Ovis aries: one gene and its partners. The protein of the gene in region 5 interacts with the protein of the main gene of each other region in a pairwise test. Links are inferred from orthologs where the notes say so. Each region holds a gene or a part of one and is shown on either strand. Other genes may lie near its edges.

What was found.
Region 1: the proteins of GOLGA2 (region 5) and ZNF414 interact in binary tests that used the Homo sapiens proteins (3 or more experiments, as listed by UniProt). The two-hybrid records come from large-scale screens. The link is inferred for Ovis aries from reciprocal best matches to the Homo sapiens genes GOLGA2 and ZNF414.
Region 2: the proteins of GOLGA2 (region 5) and GCC1 interact in binary tests that used the Homo sapiens proteins (3 or more experiments, as listed by UniProt). The two-hybrid records come from large-scale screens. The link is inferred for Ovis aries from reciprocal best matches to the Homo sapiens genes GOLGA2 and GCC1.
Region 3: the proteins of GOLGA2 (region 5) and MORF4L1 interact in binary tests that used the Homo sapiens proteins (3 or more experiments, as listed by UniProt). The two-hybrid records come from large-scale screens. The link is inferred for Ovis aries from reciprocal best matches to the Homo sapiens genes GOLGA2 and MORF4L1.
Region 4: the proteins of GOLGA2 (region 5) and SLU7 interact in binary tests that used the Homo sapiens proteins (3 or more experiments, as listed by UniProt). The two-hybrid records come from large-scale screens. The link is inferred for Ovis aries from reciprocal best matches to the Homo sapiens genes GOLGA2 and SLU7.
Region 6: the proteins of GOLGA2 (region 5) and STK26 interact in binary tests that used the Homo sapiens proteins (3 or more experiments, as listed by UniProt). The link is inferred for Ovis aries from reciprocal best matches to the Homo sapiens genes GOLGA2 and STK26.
Region 7: the proteins of GOLGA2 (region 5) and DCTN4 interact in binary tests that used the Homo sapiens proteins (3 or more experiments, as listed by UniProt). The two-hybrid records come from large-scale screens. The link is inferred for Ovis aries from reciprocal best matches to the Homo sapiens genes GOLGA2 and DCTN4.

Annotation. Positions count from the first base shown.
Region 1 is NC_056058.1:14,856,404-14,860,504, forward strand, and holds the start of ZNF414 (zinc finger protein 414), read right to left. Parts: upstream 2,801-4,101; 5' UTR 2,677-2,800; coding exon 2,674-2,676; exon of another isoform or gene 1,977-2,673; coding exon 1,664-1,976; intron 1,334-1,663; coding exon 1,226-1,333; intron 1,112-1,225; coding exon 1,006-1,111; intron 470-1,005; coding exon 123-469; intron 41-122; coding exon 1-40. UniProt on the Homo sapiens protein: May be involved in transcriptional regulation.
Region 2 is NC_056057.1:93,527,761-93,531,855, forward strand, and holds the start of GCC1 (GRIP and coiled-coil domain-containing protein 1), read right to left. Parts: upstream 2,801-4,095; 5' UTR 2,379-2,800; coding exon 1,347-2,378; intron 266-1,346; coding exon 1-265. UniProt on the Homo sapiens protein: Probably involved in maintaining Golgi structure.
Region 3 is NC_056071.1:22,937,796-22,941,761, reverse strand, and holds the start of MORF4L1 (mortality factor 4-like protein 1), read right to left. Parts: upstream 2,801-3,966; 5' UTR 2,733-2,800; coding exon 2,693-2,732; intron 1-2,692. UniProt on the Homo sapiens protein: Component of the NuA4 histone acetyltransferase (HAT) complex which is involved in transcriptional activation of select genes principally by acetylation of nucleosomal histones H4 and H2A.
Region 4 is NC_056058.1:69,558,318-69,562,502, forward strand, and holds the start of SLU7 (pre-mRNA-splicing factor SLU7), read right to left. Parts: upstream 2,801-4,185; 5' UTR 2,729-2,800; intron 569-2,728; 5' UTR 555-568; coding exon 385-554; intron 1-384. UniProt on the Homo sapiens protein: Required for pre-mRNA splicing as component of the spliceosome. Participates in the second catalytic step of pre-mRNA splicing, when the free hydroxyl group of exon I attacks the 3'-splice site to generate spliced mRNA and the excised lariat intron.
Region 5 is NC_056056.1:8,025,803-8,029,302, forward strand, and holds the end of GOLGA2 (golgin subfamily A member 2), read left to right. Parts: intron 1-203; coding exon 204-449; intron 450-531; coding exon 532-607; intron 608-859; coding exon 860-948; intron 949-1,229; coding exon 1,230-1,448; intron 1,449-1,540; coding exon 1,541-1,643; intron 1,644-1,735; coding exon 1,736-1,842; intron 1,843-1,915; coding exon 1,916-2,069; intron 2,070-2,157; coding exon 2,158-2,372; 3' UTR 2,373-3,126; downstream 3,127-3,500. UniProt on the Homo sapiens protein: Peripheral membrane component of the cis-Golgi stack that acts as a membrane skeleton that maintains the structure of the Golgi apparatus, and as a vesicle thether that facilitates vesicle fusion to the Golgi membrane.
Region 6 is NC_056080.1:102,807,049-102,810,548, reverse strand, and holds part of STK26 (serine/threonine-protein kinase 26), read left to right. Parts: intron 1-2,254; coding exon 2,255-2,485; intron 2,486-3,500. UniProt on the Homo sapiens protein: Serine/threonine-protein kinase that acts as a mediator of cell growth. Modulates apoptosis. In association with STK24 negatively regulates Golgi reorientation in polarized cell migration upon RHO activation.
Region 7 is NC_056058.1:59,874,098-59,878,227, forward strand, and holds the start of DCTN4 (dynactin subunit 4), read right to left. Parts: upstream 2,801-4,130; 5' UTR 2,784-2,800; coding exon 2,649-2,783; intron 1-2,648. UniProt on the Homo sapiens protein: Part of the dynactin complex that activates the molecular motor dynein for ultra-processive transport along microtubules.

The DNA of each region.
Region 1 (4,101 bases), on a different chromosome or scaffold from region 5:
TCAGAGCTGCCCTGGGGTCTTCGCGGGCTGCCGCCTGCACCTGCGGTCAACGGGCGGGTCAAGGTCAGAAGTCAGAGTGAGCCCAGCCCACCCTGAAGGCGGCCCTGATAGCCCACACTCACCTTGGCTCTTTTTCCAGACGGCGGCGCTGGAGGCAGGGGGCCCAGGAGCGGCGGCCAGAAAGGGGCGCAGGCGTGGGGGACTTAGGCCAAAAGGCGCGGGGTTCAGGTAGGGCAGAAAGGGCCCAGTGGGGGCAGGGGCAGGGGTCGTGAACGGCTCGAGCAGCGGGTACGGCAGGCCAGGCGCCGGCGCAGGATCAGATTCCGGGGGGCGCTCGGATGCCGGCGACTCCCTGTCCAGTGCCGGGGGTGGCGGCGGCGGGGCTGGGCTTTGCGCATGCTCGGCGCAAACATGCAGATGCTTGAAGAGAGAGCGGTGCGTGCGGAAGCGCAGCAGGCAGTTCTCACACCTGGGGGGCAGCACAGGGCTGGGCTGGGTCTCCCAGGGGACCCAGGGAGGGGCCTATCCGCGTAACCTGGAGAGCCGCCGCTCCAGGGTGGTCAAGGACCCTGGGGCCAAATAACCTGACTCCCGCATCTGCGGGGGGAGGAGTTTGCCCTAAGCGCCGCCCACAGTGGTCGCGACCCTTCCGGACTTCCCCAGGTCCGAACCCTGGGAAGATGAGGAAGGAAGTCTCAATTTTGACCTAGGTGATCAGTTTTCCTCTTGGGAGGCAGAGGACTGGGCCGAGTCATGCCATCTCTGTTCCCCTTTACACACATACTCCCTCCCAAGCCCCGCCCTCGGGGTCCCTGGGATTGGCTCTAGAGACCAGTCTCTTCTGGGCAGGTAAGGGCAAAGCTGGCCCTAGATCACGCCCTCTTCCTGACTCAACCCCCTCGGAAAAGGAAGGGAGAAAAGCCAGGACCCCGGGTAGTAGCTGTCAAAATCGGTGGTCAGGGGGAGCTGCCTGACCAACAGAGGTCACGGTGGACCAGGTCTCACTTGAAGTAGCGGTTGGGTTTGTAGTGCAGCTTGCCGTGGGCCACCAGTTCCTGCATGTTGGGGAAGGTCTCGGTGCAGCTCAGGGCGGAACAGCGGAAGAGCTTGCCTGGCGGCGCAGGGATGAATGACAGAGGAGTGGAGTGGGGTGGCCAGGACTGGCCCAGAGGCTCGGCCCGCCTCCCACCCTAACCTGCCTCCCCACCATCTACCCTGGCCCTACCTTCCAGGGACTGTGTGGGTGGGCAGTGGGTACGCAGATGCTGTGCCAGGTCTCGAACGCTGGGGAAACTGAGGCAGCAGCCTGGGCTGGAGCATGGTATCTGCTTCCCTGAAGGACGCACAGAAGCAGGGGGAGGGTCACTATACCTTCCTCATCCACGCCGTCCAGGGCGCTGCCTCAGAGGGGCATTTATGGGGCTGCAACTACCCTGCAACTACTAACTATGGTTTCTTACTGGGGCCTTTACCCTCTGCCTCCCCCACCAGGAAGTAGCGGCTGAGTTTCCCTGGCTCCTCGTTGGAGCCACAGACTGCCACGCAATGGGGCTCATTAAGTGGTTATTCCTTCTAGGTGGGCCCCCAGTCTGGAGATACTCAGTAATCTGCACTTCTGTTGTTCCAGGCCTGTGATCCCCCAGAAGGTCCCATCACGTGTCACCTGGTGGTGGGCGTCGTCTGGGAGGTCGCAGGTCCTCACTGGTCTTGGAGACAGTGCTGGTTGGGCCAAGGCTGTGTCCAGGTCCTGGATGGCCACTGTCTGGGGCTGGGGAGGCACCCTGCTGGGTCCCTCCGGTGGGCCCTCCACGTTCCCACACTGGGGGTGTGGGTGCCCGGTCAGGGCCCGGCTCCTCCTCCATGGAAGAGGACTTGGCTATAGCAGCCACAACTGGGGACACCCCCTTGTCGGTCTCACTGGAGCTGGGCTCTGCAGTAGCCGGCATGTCCGGGCTGGGCCCCGAGGGTTCCTCATCCTGGTGGAAGGAAGAGGTGGGGAGAACCCCCTGGGCCCAGGGTCTGCCTGCGCCAGCTAGGGGAACACCTTCACCTCGCCATAACCATTCGGTGTTTCTAAAACAGCGAATGCCCCAGAGACGTCACCCAGTTGGCTCCCATACTAAGGAGAGGCAGTGGGTGAGAGGGTTGAACGTCTGCCTCCAGTGTCCCCGTCCTTCGGAAGAGAGTTGGGAGGTGTGCCAAATGTAGAAGGGGGTACCTTTCCAGGAAGCCCCTATATGATAAGAAGCATGCTCTGATCCTAACTTGGAAAGCTGGGGGGCCCCCCACTACAGGGCAGGGGCGTGGCCCTGAGGGAGTGGGCGTCGCAAAGGCGGGGCTCTGAACAGGACGCGGCTAAGAAGATTCTGGAGGGCCAGAAGTGGCCAAGTGGGTGTTTGAGGACCGAGATATATCTACCAGAGGGGTTCGAGCTGTGCAGGCGAACGGGAGGTGCTGGGACCCCAAACATATAAAGATCAGGGGGCGGTGCCTGAGCTCTGTAGGCGTGGCCCAGTCGAAGCCAGGACCGGAAGTAGGGGGTAGGGTGCTCCCTGAGTGACAGCGGCAGGCGACTGCCCGGATGTGGAGGCGGGGTCGGCTGGAGGCTTAGAAGGCCGCTCCCCGCCAGTCCCTGCTTGTTCGCCGCGTCCGCATCCCCGGTGCCGCGCTCACCATCCTCAGCCTGGTTCAGCCTCTTGTTCCTGCAGCTCCGGCGGCTCCAACTAAGGCTGCGGCGACTCCTTCGGTGGCCGCAGGCTCGCGCTCACGTCGGCGCCATTTTTCGGCTCCTAGCTCTCGCGAGAACGGGGGCGGGGTCCGCGCACAGTGCTCAGCGAGGAGGCGGGGCCTGAGATCCAGGATTCTCTGGAACTGCTATGCCAAGAGGGAGAGGGCAATGGCACCCAACTCCAGTACTCTTGCCTGGAAAATCCCATGGACGGAGGAGCCTGGTGGGCTTCAGTCCACGGGGTCCGGAAGAGTCGGACACGACTGAGCGACTTCACTTTGACTTTTCACCTTCATGCATTGGAGAAGGAAATGGCAACCCACTCGAGTGTTCTTGCCTGGAGAATCCCAGGGACGGCAGAGCCTGGTAGGCTGCTGTCTATGGGGACGCACAGAGTCGGACACTACTGAAGCGACTTAGCAGCAGCAATGCCCAGAATATGTGTACAGAGATCTAGGATTAAAAATTTCCCGGGCCTTTGTGTTCTCCTGTGCAAAATGAGCATCTTCGTTTGCTCCCGTCCCGTCACCATATCTCGAAGGGGGATAAACAGCAGTTCTCAGTTTTGAGAAGGTCATGTTGAGAGGGCTGCTTCTTTGGAGGGAAATTGCCGCGGACGTCAACATTTTCAATGCACTTAGTCCGGAAATTGGAATGGATCTGTTGAGATAGCCAAGGGCGGGAAACAAGTTCACTTTCCGTCCTCAGGACACCCGGAACGTGTGTAGCCTGAAGATGGAGTGGTGTGTGTTTTCAGGATAGGTGGAGAGCCCTGGCGTGAAATGAGTCACCTATCCAACTTACGTTCCTTGAGTGCCTAGTTTGTGCTAGGGTCTGGGGATCCAGAGATGAACAGGACAGGCCAACAGTCCTGCTCTCAGGGGGCACTCGCGTTTTAAAATGGGGAAACAGACAATGAATCAACAAATGCGGGAAATGATCTTATGGTTATATTAAGTGCCATAAAGGAAAAAGGGCTTCCCAGGTGGCGCTAGTGGTAAAGAACCCACCTGTCAATGCTGGAGATGTAAGAGAAGCTGGTTCGATCCCTGGGCCAGGAAGATCCCCTGGAGGAGGAAATGGCAACCCACTCCAGTATTCTTGCTGGGGAGAATCCCATGGACAGGGGAGCCTAACATGCTACAGTCCATGGGGTTGCAAAGAGTCAGTGGTGACTGAGTGGCTGAGCACAATAAAGGGGGGAAAAAAGCCCAGAAGGATGTGATGGTCACAGGCCAGGGAAGTTTCTCTGTGAGATGACTTCTGAGCTGTTGCGTGATTGTCCGGAGGCAGTTATTCAGTGGAAGTTCAGGAGGCCACATCGCTGTGGGAAGAATGAATAGCTGGTTCAAGTGGCCTGAGTTGGGGAGGGA
Region 2 (4,095 bases), on a different chromosome or scaffold from region 5:
TCAGGACGTTGACATCCAGACTGGACTCCTCTCCATGGCTGTCCAGGGGGGACCGGCTGGAGGCCGCTAGAGCCAGGGTTTTGTTCTCCAGGTCCAGCTGCAGAATGCGCTCCTTCAGCTTCTGGATGGCCAGCTGGTCCTTCTGCTTGGCTTTCTCGTAGGTGCCCAGCAATTCCGACACCTGGGATATTTGATTCTCCAGGGCCGCCACCCTCTGCTCTTCCAACTGAGACTGCTGGCGCAGCTGATCCTCAGCGAGGGCTGTCTGAAAAAACAAGGGAACAGGTGGAGATGCATCCAGAAAAGCCACAGGGTCGGAGGGTCAACTTTAAGAAAGCAAGAGAGGGAGGACAAAAAGGTTATGGGATGCAGGTGGCCTGGAAAAAAATGGGAACTGGGAAGCTTTCTGAGTTTGGGAGCTAACCCAAGCTCCTGTAACTTGCTCTCAGACACACATTATACCCAATGATATTAAGAGTCTTTGGAGATCTGCTACTGTTCTGCTTTAGTGTTTCTACTCTCTCCACCCATACACCAAGCTCACGTGTAAGTGTGCTGTTCACCATATTACATTCTTTTCCTCTTCCAACATTCCTGGAAGTTCAGAGTTGGCTTGGATCTCTCCCCACGCTGAAAGGAGGCACTGGAAAATAGCCTATCTTTCCAGACATGGCAAATATTGACTGCAAGCAATAGAAGAGGTGATTTCTTCTATGAAAATTCCCTTTGTCCCCTCCAGCCACCCTACCTACAGGCATCCACTGCTACCCATAGATAGGCATACTGCCATAAGCCCCCACTCCACCTTCCACTGCACAGCCGCTGCTACACTGCTTCACAGAGCACAGCTGGGAAGATGCCATGCCCTGACACTCAGATCTGTCTAGCTCCAACTTCAGACTACACTCAGAAACTCCACATCCTGTTGGAAGCACTCTGTGGATACTGTCAACACCACACAGAAAAGGATTTCTCAGGACCCACAAGTGAAACTTTTCGAAGCGCATAAAAAACCAACAGTGCAGGCACTTAGTTCTGTCAAAGGAGAAAAAAAAAAAAAACACTAATATTTCCCCATGTGTCACAAGTGGTGTGTGCTGACTCGTGTCTGACTCTTTACTTCCTTATGGACTGTAGCCTACCAGGCTCCTCTGTCTATGTGGTTTTCCAGGCAAGAATACTGGAGTGGGTTGCAACTTCCTACTCCAGGGGATCTTCCTGACCCAGGGATCAAACCCATATCTCCAGAATCTCTTCCATTGGCAGATGGATTCTTTACCACTGAGCCACCTGAGAAGCCACTTTAAGTTAAATGACTCATGTTTGAAAGAGATGAAGATAATTACCTTTCTCATTTCCTGCTGCAACTGAGCCTGGAAATGGCTCTTGAGGCAGGCAGCCTCTTCTTGAAGCTCCTTCAGCCGGGGGTCAGGCTGATTCTTCTCATCTCGAAGAGCCTGAAGCTCACCTTTCAGCTCTTCCACCTCACGGGTCAGTTGCTTGGTCTGCAGTTCAAACCCTTCCATCTGACCGGCTGCATAGGCCCGCCCGGCCAGAGCTTCCCGAGTCTCTTCCAACCGAAGCTCCAAGTCCTGGCGCTGGGCCCTCTCCTCCTGCAGCAGTTTCTGGAGCTCACGCAGCATCAAGGCATGGTCGCTCTGCTCTTGGGCCCGATCATGTTGCTGCGTGATAAGCCGGGCTTTGGTTTCTGCTATCTGTTCCTGCAGCCCCTTCAGTTCTCCCTCCAGCCGGCCCCTCTCCTCCTCTGCTTTCTTACTGGCATCCTCTAAGTCCTGCTTCATCTTCTTTTTGTCCGCCAGGTAAGAAGCTTCCATGCGGGACTTCTCCTGGGTGACTGTAGCCAAAGAGCTGGTCAAAGTAGCCAACTGAGTCTTCAGCTGGTGCAGTCGTTTGTCCACCTCCCCACCCCCAGATGGTCCGTCCCCACTACTACTGCTAACGCCACTCTCTGACCCGCTGGCCTCTTCCAACTTTGGAGGAGGTGGTCCACGGGCCAGTCTGTCATCTTCTACCCCAAACTCACCCTTGGTGCTGGTGATACTGGCCGCAGTATCCAGGCTGGCGGCGGTCCCTGTGCTATCCTCGCTGTGAGTGGAGCATCGGTCATCCACAGAGTCAGGAAAGGTGAGGCCTTGAGGCTGCACACCTGCGAGGCCTACATCCGCCTCGTGGGATACAGACAGTACCTTAATGCTGGCCTCCAGCGCCTCTTTCTCCTTCAGCAGACTTTTATAGGCAAGGACTACATCCTTGAGACGAGTTTGGTACTGGAGGAGCTGCTTCTTCTGAGTCTCAATGGTCTCCAGCAGGTCCTTCTTGCTTGGGCCGCCCCCGAAATTCATTCCAAACTTCTCCATGAGGGTTCAGGACGGGTTGCTCCAGGCCAGGGTTTGGACAGGCTGGGAGAGCGTCACGAAGATGCTAGCAGGGGTTGTATGCGACGGGGAGATAGCTGTCCCCCTCTGCCGCACATCCGCTCCAAGCAGCTGTTTGAGACCGGATGCAGGGCGGCGGGGCAGCAGGGCAGAAACGCTTGCCAGGTCCCAGACAGGAGGGCGGGGGCGGGTCCTATCCTAGAGGCGGGGCGACGCTGGCACAAGAAGGGCACACTGCCAGGGCTCGCCCGCACTGCCCCAGAAGCCGCTCCGCGCTCCCCGCTCACCCAGCCACAGCAGCACCGGCCCGGCCCCGGCGCACTACAGGCCAAAGGTTTAAGATGAGCGTAGCTCCATCCCGACTTCCTAACTCTAGCGGCTGGGACAACGGCGCTTCCGGGTCTGCTGGAAGTGACGAGAGCGCGACGTATTGAGCCCCGCCCCCAGTGGGCGCGAGGTGGGCGGGGCTACCTCAGCCGGCTGGTGGGAAGAGAACCCAGCAGGGCTGAGAACTGGTCACTCTCCGGCCGAGTGCTGGTTCCTCTCCACCACAGCAGAGCAAGCAGAGTCGAGTACACCGGAGTCATGTTGGTTTGCTGAAGGCGCCTGATCTTGCTCTAGCGCTAAGATCAGCGAGGGACGGGGGCGACATTGTAATGAGCCCTTACCAAAGACTCGGGTAAATGACAGGCCCCACTGTTTGGGTGCTCAGTACCGTTGTCCTTAAAGAGCAACAGTTAAGACTACCATTTAGACCACAAAGATGACAACCCTTTCTAGGACAGTATTTGACACCTAGACGGTGTATAATTATTATTACACCTTTCCTGAGTTCTGCTGGGTTCATTTAACAAATATATATAAATAAATATATATAGGCATCATGTCCATTCTAAGTGCCACCTATATTTCAGAAGCTTCACAAGAGTTTTGCTATTTAGTCTTTATAATTAATCTGCTGAGCATCATTAGCACTATTTTACAGATAGTGCAACGTGAGGCACAGAGAAGTTAAGTAATACACCAAGGTCACATAGCCTTGGGTTTAGAATCCCATGTAGATCGGTCTGATTCTCAACATACCAAGTGCTATGCCAGGTGATCACCAGGAAAGGACAAGCTCCTACCCTCAAGGAGCCCACATCTAGAGAAGCAGCAGCCATGCAAACACAAGTATATTCAAAGTGATACTGAAGTTAAGAGGAGGGAGCCCTGTCTAAGGGAAACAGCGCAGGCTTTCAGGGGAAATGAGTTGGAATTTGAAGAGTAAGTACTGATTGTCCATCTAACTAGAAATGAGGGAAACAACATTCTGCTAACTGCTGCTAAGTCACTTCAGTCGTGTCCGACTCTGTGCGACCCATAGACGGCAGCCCACCAGGCTCCCCCGTCTCTGGGATTCTCCAGGCAAGAACACTGGAGTGGGCTGCCATTTCCTTCTCCAGTGCATGAAAGTGAAAAGTGAAAGTGAAGTCGTTCAGTCGTGTCTGACTCTTGGCGACCCCATGGACTGCAGCCCACCAGGCTCCTCCGTCCATGGGATTTTCCAGGCAAGAGTACCAGAGTGATGTGCCATTGCCCTCTCCAAAACAACATTCTAGGCAGAGGGAAAACTTGCAAGGACTCTGGAGCATCAGAGAGTTTGTCTCACCTGGGAAGCATTGAGAATCATTTCAAGGCAGTAGCTTAGGGTATGCAA
Region 3 (3,966 bases), on a different chromosome or scaffold from region 5:
GAAAAAATGCTTGTAACATATGCTGCACCATTATTTAACAACAGAAATTTTCAAGTTTAAAAGAGAATCGGAAAAAAACTTTCCCATCATTCGTATTTTTACCGTCACATTAGCTCAATTCTTCTGCAGTGTTTTAATATAATTCTGCTAGTTCCTACAGAATATTCCTTTCTCCTTACAAGATATTCTCTTCTAAATAACTCAGTCTTGTCCAACTCTTTGCAATCCCATGGACTGTAACCCACCAGGCTCCTCTGTCCATGGAGATTTTCCACAAACACACTGGAGTGGAGCCTTTCCTTCTCCAGGGGCGCATCTCTACCCACGCAGAGAACCCTCAGCTCTCCCCTTCTCCTCCACTGGCAGATGGATTCTCTATCACTAGGGTCACCTGGGAATCCCCAAAATAATAATTTCTTAAAAGATGGTTATACAACCCAACTTTGACACAGGAGTAGAAAACACGTCTGCAAAGTGCAAAGACTCAGGTAGCTTTCAAAACCATAGCGCTACATTGGCTCCTTTTGCTGTTCAGTCGCTCGGTCGTGTCTGACTCTTTGCGACCCCATGGACTGCAGCACCGTCAGGCTTCCCTGTTCTTCACTATCTCACTATCTCCCAGAGTTTGCGCAAATTCATGTCCACTTACCTCTGTGATGCTATCTAACCAACTCATCCTCTGCCGCCCTCTTCTCCAATTCACTGCTACAGCAGCATATGGATCCTCCCTCACTCTACCATCCTTTCCAGTTTAGAACTAAAGCACTTCCTCCAGAAAGCCATCCTTAACTGTTCCAAGTCTGTGTCGTTTACCTTTGATGTCCTACAGTGAGGATAAATTTTTTTTGTGCAGTGGACCCTTCAGTCCGGTTAAGTCTTTGGGCCTTTTCTCAGAATGTTTCTACAAACATGTAAAACCGTACTACAAAAGAAACGAACTATATTGAGACAGTTATAAAAACACTTAAAACATCATGTGTTATGGTATTATATGAGCTCCTTAATTGATACAATAAACATTTAGCTGCTGATCCAGGAAACTACCACAATTCTGAAACAACGAAAAGCATACATCTGAATGTATCTTCTGCAACTTTAATGCTGGGATGTGAAAACATTACAGCTACTACTACTGTGGGAGGGTCTTGTTTTGCTTTTCTGTGGGGGAGGAAATCTACAGTCATAACTGTAGATTTAATTTTAGTTAGAAAATCGAAAAAAAACTCTTTCCTGTCCAAGTACAAGGGGTGTTCTGAATTATAAACACCCTAGATCAAGAATCCTTGCTCTAAAACATCTGATTTTTTAAAAGCAATGCAAGCAATTCACAGTAGTCGTCACGTAGCTTCTCAGAGTGAGAGAAAGCAGGTATTAAGAGCCAGTTACAGGGAAAACACCCGCGGCAATCTTTTAAATATTCCATTGTTACAATACGCTTGGATTTTGTGTGTATGACTCAAAGTAATTCTAACGCATATCAAAGTTTGAACATCCCTACAATTTTTTGCAGACGTCTCGACATCCGTGGTATCTAACACGTACAACCACAATAATGTGAATGAGCATTTTAAAGTGTTCTTGCTTGCCTTACATAATTTTATATCCACTTCAGTTTACTGTTAAACCTCCACTATATAAATTAACAGATGCAGTAATAGTGAAAATTACAGAGCTGTCTTCCTCTGGAAATCAGGCTCTCTACAGTCAGCCTTCACGTTGATCAGAGACAATAAAAACTCAACTTTCAAATCACTGTTAATCAATTATTGCAATTAACCAAACCACTGCCGTACTTAAAAGGCTGACATCAAGACAACGGGACTTCACATAAATGAGGTAGTAACACCGCATTAAAGCAGTTTTTCATTACTGCTTTACAAGCCACCGCGCAGCCAGAGCGCGTTCACGTTCCCATAGGACACCAACACTCCGCTTTTCCGAGAGCAAAGGGATGCCTTCGGGCGACACAAAGCCGAGTGAACGCTCGCGCTTTTCCCTCCTGTCCCCACCCACATCCCCGGGGCCAGCGCCGAAAAACCGGTTCCCGATCTGCGGCGGGGGAAGAAGGGGGCGCTCCTCTGCCCTAAAGCGGCGTCTGCGGCCGCGAGCCGTGGATCCAGGCGCCGGCGGCCATGATGGGCCCGCCATCTTGCAGCGGCCATCTTACAACGCAGTTCTCCCGCCCCGAGAAGCGAAGCCAACCCCCTCCAGCCGCGGCTCCGCGGCTCCACCGCGAGCTATCCGCTCGCGGCTGGAGGTCGCCGCGGAGCGCCAACCCTCGGACGCCCACGCGGACGGGAGCCCGAAACGGCCGCCGCCGCCTCCCCTCCCCCACGCCACATCACTTCCCCTAACGGCCGCCATGGCGCGCCCGCCGCCTCCCTACAATAGGCTACTTTCTCCGCGCCCTCTTCCTCTCAACGACAACAAACACAGCACCAAGGCTGTGCCACGAGGCAACGGCTCCCTCTCGCCTTCTAACGCCTGCCTAACGCTTTCGCCTCCCAAAGTGTTTTTATCCTCACGAAGCACAGAAAAACCTCGCCGCAATGCGCTTTCTCCGCACAAAGCCCTGCCCGCCGCCGCCTGGGGACACGGCCCTCGCCATCCCCAGTCCCCAAATCTCAACCGTCCCGAGACCGCCTCCCTCTCCGGGCCGTTAGATGCTTTGTCCCCAGGGGATCAAACTCACCCTCCTGGAATTTAGGCTTCGGGTCCTGCTTCGGCGCCATTTATAAAAGATTCACCGCCGCCGCCTCCTCCTTCTCCCACCACCCCTGACTACCGCCCCCTACTCTCTACCCCACCCAGCTCCGCGTCAGACGCGCCGTCAGGCACCGCCAACTCTACATCCTGGGCCCGATTTGCCAGCGCCCGCAGACCGCCCAGCACCGCGACCGGCCCAACTGCTGCTCCAGCCAACGGCTGCCCGCCGCGCACGCGCCCCTGCGCCCGCGCCGCCCCGGGGCACGCTGGGATTGGTAGTTCCGAGGCGTTGGAGGAGCCGAGGGGCGGGGGCGGGGCGGTGGCCTCCTCCCCTCCCCCACCCCTAACCCCCTGCCCCACCCCCATCCCCGGGGGCGGCGGCGTTTTTACTTCCTAGATTTGATTTTAAGTTGTTGTCGGAGTGAGGGACAGCAAGGCTTTGCCTAACCTGCACAAAAGAAGGGGAAAGACTGAGTTGCGGAGGTCCATGGGCAATATAGGGCCGCAACGATATGGGCTTGGGAATGGCCAGAGAGAAATGGCGGCCTCTGAAACCCCTTTTCAGTAGCATGTTGAGCAGTTTCTGCACAGGGAAGCTTCAGGGCCAGCAATCTTGGCTAGAAACGGGGTAGTTCATGGAGTCTGCGTCTGGATGTTTCCTCGTTCAGCAAGCTGGGTCCTGGGCCTCCCCTTCCCCACCCGAGACCTGCGGAAATGGCACGAAGCGGGCGACACGGGGCAGGCTGAGGGGTCGACCTCTGGCTTTTAGAGATGCTGGAGCTCGGCTTGCCGCCGAAAGAGGCGACCGTGAATAACACTACACCTACACCGTACCGACGTCGGGGTTCTGCACCTGCCCTACTTGTGCAATTTTTTGTCACCTAGTTGTTGTTAGGGCACAGTTAGTTGCTGTTACTGAATATACACGAGTCCGCCTGCAGTGCAGGAGACGCGGAAGGCGCAGGTTCGATCCCTGAGTCGGGAAGATCCCCTGGAGAAGGAAATAGCAACCCACCCCAGTATTCTTGCCTGGAGAATTCCACGGACAGAGGAGCCTGATGGGCTCCAGACCATGGGGTCCCAAAGACAGAGACTGAGCACTAACTATTGAATATACACAGGATTTAAAGGAATTTTCTCCCGTGGTTCACCTGTTCAAAAAGTCTGTCGTGTGCTTAGCTGCAAAATGGGGAGAATAAGGCCACCTTCCCATGGGTTTCCTGTGAGAATTGCACAGACAGGCTGAATGGTGAACTGGCG
Region 4 (4,185 bases), on a different chromosome or scaffold from region 5:
ACAGCTGGGCCTCTGTACCTATGGTTTGGAGTCTGAAGATTCAACCAGTGGCAGATTGTGTGGCACTGCATGTACTTACTGAGAAAAATAAGAGCATAAGTGGACCAACACAGTTCAAATCTGTGTTGTTCAAGGTCAGCTGTAGTCACTTGTGTACAGTAGGACAGGGAGTGGGAAGAACTAAAAAGGACTATCATTACAAGTCCTTTGTTATTATTTATTAAACATTATACATGTGAGTTTGATACAATAAATGAAAACAAAAATGATGGAAACGGTAAAGATGGTTTCCTGTCAAAGTAAAGGATGAGAAATAGGTAAACTAAGTAGACATGAATTTGAATTCTGAATGAACAGATCTTGCAAAAAAAATTAAGTACTTACTTTCCTTCTTCATCAACTTCTGCAGGGGCATTACCCAATTTTCGCTGTTCTTCTAGCTCCTTCTTCTTTCTCCAGTCCTCTCTAGTCATCTTCTTTGGTTCCTCCAAACTCATTTCTTTGGATCCCGACAAGGGGGCTGCATTAGCTGCATCCACAGCTGCAGCTGACATGGTTATCTAACCTCCTGCATGAAAAGGAAGAGATAACTATTAGAATAAACTAGGCCTGAGAAACTATCAAAAGTACACCCTAATAACACATACTGTGGGTTATATAGAATGTTTCATATGTTCTTTTTCTTTCATAGCATCTGTAAGGGAAAGGTCTCTTTCTCCTCCACTAACATCTTTATATGCTGCTGCAGTTGTGTTTTCAACTCTAATTGGTTAAGTGGAGAGAGACATGCACATGCATTTAAAATTTCATGAGACTCATTCTTTCATGTATATATTCCTGATTTCCTCTCTACATATGTGTCTCAAACTTTTCTACCACACTAATCCTTCTTGAGTACACAGGGTATTATCTCTGTTCCTCTTAAAAGCTGGACGCTTTAAGATCACCTATATTCATTATCTCTATTTCCACATTATCTGCTGCCCTTCTCAATCATTTCCCTCCCTGCTCCAAAGATACCTCTAAGTTAGCAATGTGCTAAGTCCTCTGGACATTTTTCAGTTCTGTTCCTCCCCCTTTTGATATATTCTTATCCTTTGGCTGATGTGACACCATATTTCCCTGGGTTTTTTTGTACCCCTTTCACTGCTCCTCCTGTATCCTTCATAAGTTCCTCCATTTCTGCCCGGTTACTGAATTTTGGATTCCACAAGGCTCAATTCTTCATCACTCTAAACTCCACCAGAAGACAAGTTCATCTATTTCCAAGGTTTCAATAGCCACGATATACAACTGTTGGCTCTCCAATTTATTTCTCTACTTCAGACCTTTTTTCTGAGCTTCAGATAAATACAGTCCAATTGCTTACTTCAAAGTACCTCCACTTAGATGTCTCAAAGAAACCTGAACTCAATTAGTCTTAATTCAAATTCATAATCTTCTCTATGAAATCTAATCTTCCACTGTTCCCTCTCCTGATGAAAGATACCACCATCCATTCCTTTTCATAAGTGTTCCATCTAATTCCCATACCTATTTCATCACGAAGTACTGTTATTTTCACTTTTTGAATATCACTCGAATTCATCTCAGTTCAGTTCAGTTGCTCAGTCATGTCCAACTCTTTGCAACCCCATGAATCGCAGCACACCAGGCCTCCCTGTCCATCACCAACTCCCTGAGTTCACTCAGACTCACGTCCATCAAGTCAGTGATGCCATCCAGCCATCTCATCCTCTGTCGTCCCCTTCTCCTCCTGCCCCCAGCATCAGAGTCTTTTCCAATAAGTCAACTCTTCGCATGAGGTGGCCAAAGTACTGGAGTTTCAGCTTCAGCATCATTCCCTTCAAAGAAATCCCAGGGCTGATCTCCTTCAGAATGGACTGGCTGGATCTCCTTGCAGTCCAAGGGACTCTCAAGAGTCTTCTCCAACACCACACTTCAAAAGCATCAATTCTTCGGTGCTCAGCTTTCTTCACAGTCCAACTCTCACATTAATACATGACTACAGGAAAAACCATAGCCTTGACTAGACGGACCTTTGTTGGCAAAGTAATGTCTCTGCTTTTCAATATGCTATCTAGAATTCATCTCCTTCTATCAATAATCTGAGTGTATTACTCTTCCCTACTAGTCTCTTCTGATTCCTGCCAATCAGTTCTCCACACTGCAGTGTTATTTTTTCAAACACAGATTTGGTCATATCTTGTCCCACTACCCAAACTGAAAACCCTCAAATGAAACGCTGTCCAAGAGAAACCACCAGCCCTATATGTCATTTTAAATATTCCACACACATATTAAAAAAGCAAAAAGAAACAGATAAAATTACTTTTTGCAATATTTTGTCTAATTATCAACACATTTTCATTTCAACATAGGAAAAAATAAACCAATTCTTTAAAATCTGATACGGATTTTACATGTATTCAGATTGGCCAACATTTCAAGTGCTTAAGAATTACAAGCACAGTTCAGGTCCAATAGCACCTTATAACTCTTACTTTAAAAACCACTGAAGACACAGTCCTGGTCTGACTGGGCACAAGTACCACTTCTGAGGCCTAGGACAGCTGCTTCCTTGTTTCTCGGTCCCCGTTCCCTTCTCAACCTTGCGTTCATCAATCCCGTGAGGATATTCCTAAAAATTAGGAGCCTCTGGCCCTGTTCCCCGAGTTTTCCACCTTCACCCTCCTCCTCATTCCAAGTTCTCACAAGATTTCCTTACCCGGTCCCACCGCTGCGGACCGTAGCACAGTTCGACAGGAATGAAGACGATCGCCAATGTTTACTTCCGGACTTCCTCCCTCTCCCGGCAGCCACTGTGGCACTTTCCGGGCGACCCACACATGCGCACTTGGGCCTCAGGGGCGGGGGGGGCGGGGCCCAAGCGAAACTGGCCTCGCGAGATCTCGAGCTGTTCCTACAGCTCTACGGTAGGTCAGTAGAATGGGTTAGGTTTGAGCAGCTGTTTTTCTGCTCCGTAGTTTTCATGTCTTTTAGACTCGACGAATATTACGACGTAAAGCAAAACAAAACAAATTTCATACGGAGAACAGACAATAGCGTAAGCATCGCTGGAGCGCTACGAAGTGCGTGAAGTTAAAACAGTTAAAATCACTATTAATTAGTAGCCAGGTTGTGTAACACGCTGGGGACAAAGTAAACACAAAATTGTCTTCCTCTCCTCGAATTTACATCATATAGAGTGAGAAAGACTGAATTATCTAAGTAATTTACAGTTTTAGAAAGCCGCTATGAAGGGTGTACTAGGTGCTTTGAAGACATGGGGCAATTCAGCAATTGTGACACCTCGCCCCTGATGTTGATACTGTATTTCACCATTAGGAAAAAAACGATTTACATTGTGGAAAAACAATGTCATAGATATCTCAACCTTTCTTTAAAGAATAATATGTAATAAAATACTGGAAAGTAATACTTTTGGAGTACAGTTCCCCCGCCCCCCCCCTTTAAATCCTATCTGTTCTGGTAACCTTTTATTTTTCAAAACAATATGTGTTTCTTTCAGATATCAAAATGACATCTTTGCCTCTAAGAGAATCTCATCATACTCTTATTAAGAATTTTTAGTGCATAGAGCATAGCAATGTAAATATTAATTTTGATTTTACAGGGCAAAAGTTGAAGGAATGGAAATTGTCAGAAAATAGTCTGAAAGTGAGTAGTCTATGAATCACTCACACTTAATTTTTATCTCCTTAATACAATTCCTGAAATTTGTTTGAAAGTGTTAAGGTCTGTTTAGTTAAAACTACCAGGCACAAGTCAGGGAATACATCTCCCAGTGGAATTATGGAATGTGCTGGACAAGAGGGAAGAACTGTTTGTAAGGTTCAGATTCCCCCTGGAGGATTCTAAGGAGGATCTGAGAAGCAGGGATCAGTTCTGGATGGGATGGCTGTTTGATAAACTGGGAACAATTAGGATCTTGGTGCGGTTGTAAAGTGAGGGTAGTTTAGCAATTTGGATATCACCAGTAACAGTCTGGAGAAGGCAATGGCACCCCACTCCAGTACTCTTGCCTGGAAAATCCCATGGATGGAGGAGCCTGGTAGGCTGCAGTCCATGGGGTCACTAAGAGTCGGACACGAATGAGTGACTTCACTTTCAGTTTTCACTTTCATGCATTGGAGAAGGAAATGGCAACCCACTCCAGTGTTC
Region 5 (3,500 bases):
TGAAGGCGGCACGGGGCTCTGGATGAGGAAGCCGGGACCCGGGCAACCGGCAAAGCCCTGTGCAGTGTCCGTCTCCGGCTGAGGGGTCTGTGCCCGGCCTCCCCGGCCCAGGGGCTCAGACTGTGGAAGCAAGCCACCCCCTGCCCTCAGCCCCCAGGGTCATCACCCCGCCCCTGCCCTCACCCCCCGGGGTCTGCCCGCAGGTGGAGGTGAAGCGCCAGGAGGTTCAAGATCTGCAGCAGCAGCGGGACGAGTACCTGAACCACCTGCAGCATTACGTGGCCGCCTGCCAGCTGCATGTGGCCGCCTACCAGCAGCTGGCCTTGGAGAAGGAGGCGCTGCACAAGCAGATGCTACTGCAGACCCAGCTCATGGACCGGCTGCAGCACGAGGAAGTCCAGGGCAAGGTGGCGATGGAGGTGGCCCGCCAGGAGTTACAGGAGACCCAGGTGAGGGCGTCGGGACGCTGGGCCCCTGAGAGGGAAGGCCTGCGGCCTGTGTCCCTCCTCACTCTCTTCCCTGGCCCCTTAGGAGCGCCTGGAAGCTGCCAACCAGCAGAACCAGCAGCTTCAGGCCCAGCTGACCATCATGGCTGTGCCTGGGGAAGGTCAGTGGGGAGGCCTGGAGGGAGGACACTGGCCTGAGGAGCAGGGGGACGTCTGGCAGCATGGCACCGAGTTGTTTTTCAGCCCTGAGTTAGATGAGGCCATGGGGACGGTGGGTCCTCTTCCCCCGGCCACTGGCTAGCCCAGGGCTGCAGAGTGAGGTTGGGGGCAGAGCTGGGCTCTGAGCTTTCTTCCAGGCCTGCTCCGCCTCCGTGGTTGGGGGGGTCTGAAGACCCCCTGTCTGTCCCCAACAGGAGACGGACTGGACAGTGAGGAGCAGGATGAGGAGGCTCCAAGGCCTAAGCTGAGTGTGCCGGAGGAGCTGGAGAGCCGAGAGGCCCTGGTGAGCGGACCTCCCCACTCCTCGCCTGTCTCACTCCCCCCACCGCCACCCTACCCCATCCCCAGCGGTTCCTCTCAGACACTCTTCTTTGCGGTTTCTTCCCTCCATCTCTGGTCGTCCCCCAACCTCCCCTGGGAGCCGTGGTCAGCCAGCGTGTCATCCTCCAACCACAGGCGTGCGCCCCGAGACCCTGAGAAGAGGCATGTCTCTCTGCCTGCCCGCCCACCCCTCTCTGGTCCTGTGTGTCTGCCACAAAAGCACGTGTGCCCTCTCCCCCGCAGGTGGAATTTTTCCACTCGGCCTTGGCCAGTGCTGAGGATGAGCAGGCCCGGCTACGCGGGCAGTTGAAGGAGCAGAAGCTACGCTGCCAGCGCCTCTGTAACCTGGCAGCCGCAGCCCAGGATGGGGTGGAAAAGGAGGCCCCCGCCCCCAGGACTGGGGGAGACAGTGTGCCCGCGGAGGCGCACCAGGCCCTCCAAGTGGCCATGGACAAGCTGCAGGTGCGTGAGCTGCCCCCCAGTGGGGTCCAGGAAGGGTGGGGGCCCCTGTGGGCAGGTCGCTGCTGAGCCCTGACCCTGCCCTCTGGCGTTAGGGCCGCTTTACGGAGCTCATGCAGGAGAAAGTAGATCTGAAGGAGCGGGTGGAGGAGCTGGAGCATCGCTGTATCCAGCTATCTGGAGAGACGGACACTATTGGTGAGTGGGGAGGCTCGGCCCGGGGCGGGGGGCTGGATGCGGGCAGCACCACATTGCCTCTGAGCCACGTCTGCCCTCCCCACCTCCTGCAGGAGAATATATCGCCCTCTATCAGAGTCAGAGGGCCGTACTGAAAGCCCGCCATCAGGAGAAGGAAGAGTACATTAGCCGGCTGGCTCAGGACAAGGAGGAGATGAAGGTAGGGGTCCTTCTGCCCGTCTCTACAGGCCGGGGTGGGGTGCGGCGGGGCTGCTGAGTACTTCTCCCTCCAGGTGAAGCTGTTGGAGCTCCAGGAACTGGTTTTATGCCTGGTGGGTGAACGAAATGAATGGTATGGCAAATTCCTGGCTGCCCAGAAACCTGCTGGTGAGCCCACTACAGCACCCCACACCTGCCAGGAGCCCAGCACTGCTGACAATGAGGGTGGTGAGTAGTAGCACCCTTGGGGTACTGGAGGGCAGGCAGGGGTGAGCTGGCACACCACTCTAAGCTCTGCTGCCCTCTCTCCCCAAAGGCCTCCAGGAGGTGAGCCTCGCCGACAACGTGGAGCCCCCCCAGGGGGCCCTGCAGGGCCAGACCACCCCTGAAAACCCCACCGCGCAGCAGATCATGCAGCTGCTGCGTGAGATCCAGAACCCCCAGGAGCACCCAGGCTTGGGTAGCAACGCTTGCATCCCCTTCTTCTACCGAGCTGACGACAATGACGAAGTGAAGATCATGGTGATCTAGTGGCCTGACACCGGCAGGCAGAGACCACAGACATGGGGCCGGGGGCTTTGCCCCCACCTGTCCCTGCCTCCTTGTCCCTCTTTCCTCCCCCCCCCCCATCCCTAGACTAGCACGCTGAAACCCTTGAAGAAAGGGGTATAAGCCCCCCGTCAAATGAGGGGAAACAAACAGGTGCAGGCCCCTTGCCATCTTGGCCAGGGCTGTGTCTTGATATCTGGACTGCTACTAGTTCCAGAGAGAAACAAAGAGCCAGAGGCTCAATTAAAGGCAGTTTATTTAAGAGGCGGGCCTTCTTGGGGAGCAGGGGCTCCCTGGTGGCTTCCTCACCCCTACCAAGCAGTCCTTTCAGAGGGGCTCATGCATCCTCTATTCAGAGGCACTTTGGGGCCAAGTGCCCCCTCCTTGCCCAGCTTGACAACTGGGCAGCACTCTCACAGGCCTTGGGACAGTTGGGCAAATTGAGGCCAAGCAAGAACATAAGCTGGTGGCGGAGTGGGCTCCCTCCCCAGTGTTTATACTGTAACTCTGTAACATTTTGTATATTCTGGAGGTAGGGCAGCGCCCCTGTATCTCAGCAGAGGTTGGAGCTGGTGAATGGGGAGGAACTTCTATTAAATATTTGGGGCTGGGGAAACTTATTTATTAATAGTATAGGGTAGAGAGAGAAGGTGGAGGCGGGGACGGGTTTGTGCCCGGGTGATTCGACTCCTATTTCGTTTCACTTTTTATTTCTGAATAAATGAATTTAGCCATACTGCTTGTCCTGGTGTGTGCCTTTTTTCTGTCTCTGGGTCCTGGGGTCTGTGCCATGAGCACTGAACAGGGAGCAGGTCCTGCCAACAGAGGGCAGGCTTCTAGTTGTGCCAATCTCCAGGGTGTCTGGGCACATCCAGTGGGGCTGTTAGAGATCTTTTGAGGCCTGTCACCCACTGCTGCCTGGTGAAGCCTGGGGGACCCCAGGGGAACTCCAAAGGGGCTCTCAGGGGCCATCCTGCCTTAATAGCGGAGTGACTCGAAGTTGGATCTGATCTCAGGGAGGGAAAGCAGAGTGCCGCAGCACCAAGTGCTGACTTCCAGCTCAAGTGTCCATTCCATCACCCTGTCCCTCCACAGTGTCTGGCTGGGCCG
Region 6 (3,500 bases), on a different chromosome or scaffold from region 5:
TTTATTATAGAAAGCGAGAACAGCTGTGTTCTCCCTCGGGGTGGTTGTTTCAGTCAAATCCTTTTAAAACATGAATTAGGAAGATTAGGATTTAATCTTTGTTTCTTCCAAGAACAAAAAAAATCTCATTATACAGTTAATATACTCCTGGTCCAGAATGTGTTATCAGAAAGTCCGTATTGTCTACTTTTTAATCAATGGTATATTTATAACTTTTAGAGTATTTTGTAGTTACATCAGGAAACCTGAAAGATTTGCTCTTTTTATTTTTCCAAATTCACTGAATTTAGGGAACTATAAGGTGATGAACCTATCACTGAGCTGTTTGGTGAGTATTTTTGCCACAAGCTACTAGAAAGAAAGGAACCATTACCAAAAGTAGGAAGAATAATTTGTGGGTTAGCTATTATGTGATAGTAATCACAATGTCTTGGTAAGAAATTAAGCACCAAGTTAATCAATAGTGATGGTACTCAAGTTTTGTAAAAGGTATTTTATAACAAAATGTTGGCATTAAAGAAACGTTTGCAATTTAAAGAAGTCTAAACTATTTTTAAAGCCCATATGGGCAGCTGAAGATGTATTTGTCCCATGTGAGTACTGGAGGTGGGTGGAGATAACAAGTAGCTTGCCATACCAAAGAGACTATGGCATACATGGAAAATTGTCTTTTAAAAATGGAAAAAGTCCAATCAAGGAGAATGGGTAAGCTTGTAAATTAAGCAGGTCATGTGTAAACTGTCTTTTAGGCAGGTCGAAAAGAGAAAAATTGGTGAAATTCTTTAAAATCAGTCATAAGTTTTTAAGTTACTCAAAAGCGGGCAGTTTACTGTGTCTGTTTGGTGATGATGGTACAATGAACTTGAGAGAAAATTAATGTTAATGATCTATTTGTCTAATAAAAAAGATATTAGAGGAACATGCTAATAACTATAATTTGCCTCCTGAAATTGATGACCAGGTTAAATTGTAATAAATGAACAGATAATCTAGGTGCAATTAACAAATTAAATATAGACAAGTTAGAACTATATAACATTCTTCTATATTTTGAAGGAATTCAAAGTAAAGTTTTAGTTGTAGACTAATAAGGCAGTTAAGTGTAAATTAGATTGACATGTACACACTACTATTATATTTAAAATAAAATGCCCTTCCATGAAAAAGTAAAATTAATTAATAACATGACTTTTGGTTTGGAAATAAGGTTTGGAAATCCTTTTTTCTACTTGATCAGCAGTATATATTCAGCAATATGAATTTAAGTAAGGTTAAGGGTTATCCTATGGGAGTCAAATTTGAAATAAAAATTGTGCACTATTAAATAAAGGATATTTCTGAGTCAGGGAAGGACAGTGAAGTTATAAAATCTAAGTCTTGCCAATACATTTGTTAACCTGAAAAGTTATGCTTGATTCAGATTTTTCTGTAGAAAAATATTGACTTATTCTGGAATTTTATTTTCAGCCATTGATGAGAGCATTACATACAAATGAAAGTTGAAAGTGTTAGATGCTCAGTCATATAGCCTACTCTGTATGACCCCATGGACTATAGCCCACCAGGCTTCTCTGTCCCTGGGATGCTGCAGGCAAGAATACTGAAGTAGGTAGCCATTCCATTCTCCAGGGGATCTTCCCGAACCAGGAATTAAACCCAGGTCTCCTGCATGGCAGGCAGATTCTTTACCATCTGAGCCACACATACAGATAGGATCCCAAATAAAGAAGAAGGAAAAAAAGACTTGTAGATTCTTGGGTCTTTTGTGTTGTGTGTTGTTTACATGGTGGTTTTCAAGTACAGGTGCTGTGATTGGGTTGTCCAAGTCGGAGAGTTTAAAGGTAATATTTTGCTGGTGGAATGTAAGAATTTTAATGACGCCCCTACCTACAGTAGGTTAGGTATTCTCTCACTATCACTACCATTGTACTAATGTGTAAATTGTATATAGTCAACTGCTTTATTCTAAAAAGAGTCTGGCCCTTTGGCATGCACCAGAGACAACATTTGCTGTATGAGATCGTTTCTGATAGCAGGATCAGCTAAGCCCATTTAATGTGGGTGATCCAGTAGAATATGGACTACCCATTTGGGTTACAGTTGTTCTAACAAAGCACGTGTGGAGAGTCAAGGGAATTTGTATGCTTTCTTTTAGGTAAATGTGATATTGTCTTACATGATTTATTTTCCTTCATTTAAAACTTTGATACAAAATGTTTGTGTTCTTCCCTTTCTTCTCTCCCTGCCCCCTCAGAATAATATAGCCGATCCAGAAGAGCTCTTCACGAAATTAGAACGCATTGGAAAAGGCTCCTTTGGAGAAGTTTTCAAAGGAATTGATAACCGTAGCCAGCAAGTGGTTGCTATTAAAATCATAGACCTCGAGGAAGCCGAAGATGAAATTGAAGACATTCAGCAAGAAATAACGGTTTTGAGTCAGTGTGACAGCTCATACGTAACGAAATACTATGGATCATATTTAAAGGTAATGTGTGCACTGGATCATGAGGTACTTTCATTATGAGTATTTCTTTCTTTTTTTAATTCTGTTTTTTGAAAGGCAGTGTCTTAAATTAGGATTTGGCAGCCTTCGGCCTTCAGGCAGAATCTAGCTCCATTTGTAGGGCCAAAATAGATTTAGATTTAGCAGCTGTGTCCTGAATGCATCCAGTACTCAGCTGTACCATTTTTCCACACCTGAACTTTTGGGTTGATGGAGGAGCAGAAAGGCAGCTGAGCCTTGACACATAACCTTTGTCAGGAAAGAGCTTTCTTCTTGGACTTTCACACATTACTCTCAATGGCCCAGTCTATCTCAACCTCAGAATTGATGGCATATGTATTGTAAGTATGTCACTTGTTCCATTGAGTTATGGTGGTTATTTACACAACTCTCCCTCCGTCTAGATTGTGAGCTTCTGGATATCAGGGAGTTTAGTTCAACCTGTCATGTTTTCACATCACATAGCACAGGGCATGGCACATCTTCAGCACACGATAAATACTTGTTGAAATGTAATTAAATAGAATAATATCTAACCCCACCACCAAAAAAGTTGGATTTTTAGTTTCCAGGGTTATAGAATTAACAGACACCTAAAATTCCAGCAGATGGAGGTATTTCTGCATCACAGAAAACTCTTTGGTGAGTTCTTGGGTTCCAGAGTTAGAGTCAAGATTTGTATCTATTGAAATATAAACAATAAATAATTAGAAAAATCTAGCTTAGAGTTTAAATTATTTTAAAATTTAAAAATATATCCCCATATTGATATTTTTCAGAGGAAGGCAGTATTAGTTAGATCTTTGATTTTCAGGGCTTATAAGAGGGAAGGGTTTTTTTGTTTATTTGCTTTTCTATCTCTAGGCCAGAAGGGTGTGTTTATAACCCATTAGGCTCTTGGCCTGCACAAAAGTTAATGCTGTCTTTTTATCCTTTTATGTTCTGCTGGGATAAACTGTATTAGTTAATACTCATATAGATATTCATTATCAATTTC
Region 7 (4,130 bases), on a different chromosome or scaffold from region 5:
ATGAAGCTGTGATCAAAAATCCTTTTACCTAGTCTAGCTTTGCTGCTGCTAAGTCACTTGTCGTGACCGACTCTCTGCGACCCCAGAGACGGCAGCCCACCAGGCCCCACCCACACCCTCTCCCTGGGATTCTCCAGGCAAGAACACTGGAGTGGGTTGCCATTTCCTTCTCCAATGCATGAAAGTGAAAAGGAAAAGTGAAGTCGCTCAGTCGTATCCAACTCCTAGCAACCCCATGGACTGCAGCCTACCAGGCTCCTCCCTCCATGGGATTTGCCAGGCAAGAATACTGGAGTGGGTTGCCATTGCCTGCTCCCAGCTTTATGGGACTGCAATAACACTTTAATTGTTGAGAGACTTTAAAAGTTCTCTCCTTACTGATGTATTACATGTTCGCTGAAGAAAAGCATAAATTAACAGTTACAAAGTCAGCTATAGCCAACCAACTGGAGATTTTTAAATGGCAAATTAAACTACTAGGTTGACAAGATAGTCTTATTGTATTTAGCTTGAAAACACAGTATAAAAATTAAATTCACTGTATTTTTTTAAGGACTGAATAATTATTTCCTTGAATGTAGGTAGATCCTATTTGATAATTCTAGAACTCTGGGCATCTGCAGATGGAAAGACAGATTCACCTGAACATAAATACTATGACAGAAACTGGTTTCTGTTTTTATCATCTGCTTATAAACAGAACCACCTTTGAAAGATAAAGTCGCTGCTCAAATAGTCACCAGGAACACAAAATACAGTACTGTTAACTTATATTTGCACTCAGTGCATCATAAAAGGCATAATGCACTCATCATAAAAGGTAAAATGTAATTCATTCCCTTTTGTTCCTTTCTGAATTACGCTCCTCCCTTCAAGTGCGGCTCCAATTCCAGGCTCCCCATTAGAACTTTCTGGACTGCTTCAACCCTCATTGGCATCATCCTTCCCCAAACCCTAATGGCTTCTCTTTCACAGGTGCACACCAGTCCATAAAAGATACAGTCACAGACTGAATGTCCTAGCTGAAGGTGTCCTTACAGATTATGAAAACTAGCTCCCTACTGATCACCAAATAAGAATCTAATCAGTAAATTCTGGAGGTGAAGCTGGGACAGGGAGGCATCATAGAGAGAAAGGGCCTGCCAAAGGGATAAGTGTACAAAGTGCTAATAGAGAAAAACAAATGCTGTATATAATACAGCATTGATTTTTCTTTTCCCCCCTTGTTATTTAACTGCTTTCTCTGACTATTCTGAATAGTATGAAAAATATTCTCAATAAAATAGTAATTAATAATGTGTAAAATGGCTTATAGTATGGGACATATTCTCATAAGCATTTTTAACAGTCCAGGGATCCTGACTGAAGTCCACTGAATCAGGCTGCTCGGTTTCAAATCCTGGTCCTTCCTCCCTTCCTCAAATTTTTGGCTGTGTGACATACTGCAAACATTATGCCTGTTTCTTTAACTGTGAAATACAAGAGTCATCAGCCACTTCAGTCCTGTCCGACCCTTTGCGACCCCTGGGCTGTAACCCACCAGGCTCCTCTGTCGGTGGGATTCTCCAGGTAAGAATACTTAAGTCGGTTGTCATACCCTCTGCCAGGGGATCTTCCCCATCCGGGTATCGAACTAGCGTCTCCTGCATTGCAGGCAGATTCTTTACGGACTGAGCCACCAGGAAACCCCTTAACGGTAAAGTGGTTTTTTTAAAAGAAAGGTAGAATGATTAAAGGAGATTATGTAAAGCACATGGCATACAGAAAGTACTGAATAAGCATAAACTATGTATTATAATACTAATCAGCTTTTCCTTCAGGAGCCTGCAAGTAACTCAAGAGCAGGATTTATGTCTTAACTCGTCTTTTAAGCCCCAAATCTTACTGAATGAACACGCGTCAAGTGCTGCAGACGTTTGGGGGCTTTGTTATTCGTTGATGATTTTTTTCCCCCAGGGTGGAGTCTTTTACATTCTGAGCAATCTCACCTCCAACGCCCACTTGTATCAGTGAAGGACAGAAATGTACCCCCAGGAGAAGCGCCATAAATATAATACTTTGAGCTTCTTAAACAACAGATTCGATTCTAAGCGCTTTTCTCTCAGCTCACCCCATCCCAACCCTCTTCTTTGCTGCAGGCCTTGGGCTGGGCTGGGAAACAGAACAAGGCAGTCAGAAGGCCGGGTTTCTGCCCAAGGAGGGGCAGAACTTCCAGGATAGGAGGCGCTTGGATGAGAACGACCGCGGACTTTCCCACTACCTCAATCAATCCTGGGAAGACCGTATCTCGCCCCTCAAGGGGCCTCAACTAAGCACCCCGACATCTTTTCCCCCCACAACCCGCCCAATTACCAAACCCCCTAGTAGATGGCCAGGGTCCCCAAAGTCTAGTTTGTCCAATCAGAAGACGCTATAGAACAGAAAGGCCGTTCAGCCCCACCCAAGGCCGCTCCTCCTTTCCAAGTGACAAATTATAAGCAAATTAAATCACAGACAAAACCGAGTGACGGAAGGCAAAGCCAATCAGCATGCTAGGAAAATGACTACCCGCCTCCAACTGACGGAACTTCCCCGCTGGTCGCGGTGACTAGGGGGAACGCCTCCCCCATCCCCCAACACACAAACTCTTCATGGGACGACTGCGTTACCTCGTGAGACACACATTCCAGCGACCGCAGATCGCTACAATAGCGGCAGAAGTAAAGCTGCGACAGCGGAGCCCGAACCTTCTTTTCTCCCTGGACTAGATAGAGAACCCGCTCCGATTGCAGCAAGGACGCCATCTTGTGGGGGAGGAGTCAACGACGCTCCCGTCGCATCACGTGACCCGAGGGCCGGCGTTTCCTTAGCTTCCTTCCTTACGTCTTTCAACGTAGACTTTGACGTAAGCATTCCGAGCAAGTGGGGCTTTGCGCAAGAAGAAAGTCAAAATGCGCATGCTCACCAGAGATACCAGCTTTCTCCCGGCAAGTTGGGGCCTGTTCTCCCAATCTCAGTTCCCCAAGCTCGTCCCCCTCCAGCGTTTTTGTGAGTGTCAACCGCCCGGACGGAGCTCAGACCGTTGTTTTGCTAGATGTGGAGTCGCAGATCAAATCCAGACAGACTCAGTACTGTTCTTTCCTTCATTTCTAACAGGAAGGTTGCTCATTTATTTAAAACTGCCTCTCCCGCTCTCACCTTCCAAACAAATCTCCAGAAGTTAGATGGAGGGTTTCTGAGACAAAGTTTCTTGGAAACTAGAAACTTAAGAGTCCACAGCAGCACTTACTTCCGACAATCTTACTATTGACCTATAGGAAACTTTCACAGATACTCTTTTGTAGTTTCTTACATCGAGCTCTTGCACGCAGAGCTGTATCTCATATCCTGGCTTTCCATATTTAGCATGAGAACCAAGTCTATATTGTGGATGTTAATGAAGCAATGAAATCAATGAATAGTGTTGCTAGGTGTTATTTACATTTTTCTAGTGCATGCATTAAGGCTTAGACATGTAAAATGACCACTTACAGCTAGGCTGGCAGAGACTGGAGCCCATGCTACCTGCTTCAGTTCACTGCTTTTCTCTTTGTACTAGAATTGAAAGTGCAAGTCGCTCAGTAGTGTCCACCTCTTTGCAACCCGATGGACTATACCCATGAAATTCTCCAGGCCAGAATACTGGAATGGGTAGCCTTTTCCTTCTCCAGGGGATCTTCCCAATCCAGGGATTGAACCCAGATCTCCTGCATTGCAGGTGGATTCTTTACCAGCTAAGCCACAAGGGAAGCCCAGTGTTGTATTACTATCTGTCTGATATTAGAGTTGGTGACTGAGAAGAAACAGAACTGAATAGTAATAATAGTTAACGTTTATTGAGCACTTACTGAATGCAGGACACTGTGTCAAAACTACGTAGTCTCATTTAATTTTCACCAGAACTCCAGAAGGCAGGTGCTATCATTATTTTTATCTCACAATGTAGGACATTGAGATCCCAGTGCTCTTCTCTTCTCCCTGGAAAGCCTGGCCATAACTGAGGCAGACTAAGATTCCTCTGCTCTGTGACTAGTAGTCACCAGTAGCAGAATCCCTAATGCATAGCGTAGTGACCAGCATGGGCCCTGAGCAGCAGCAAGGCCCAGGCACTA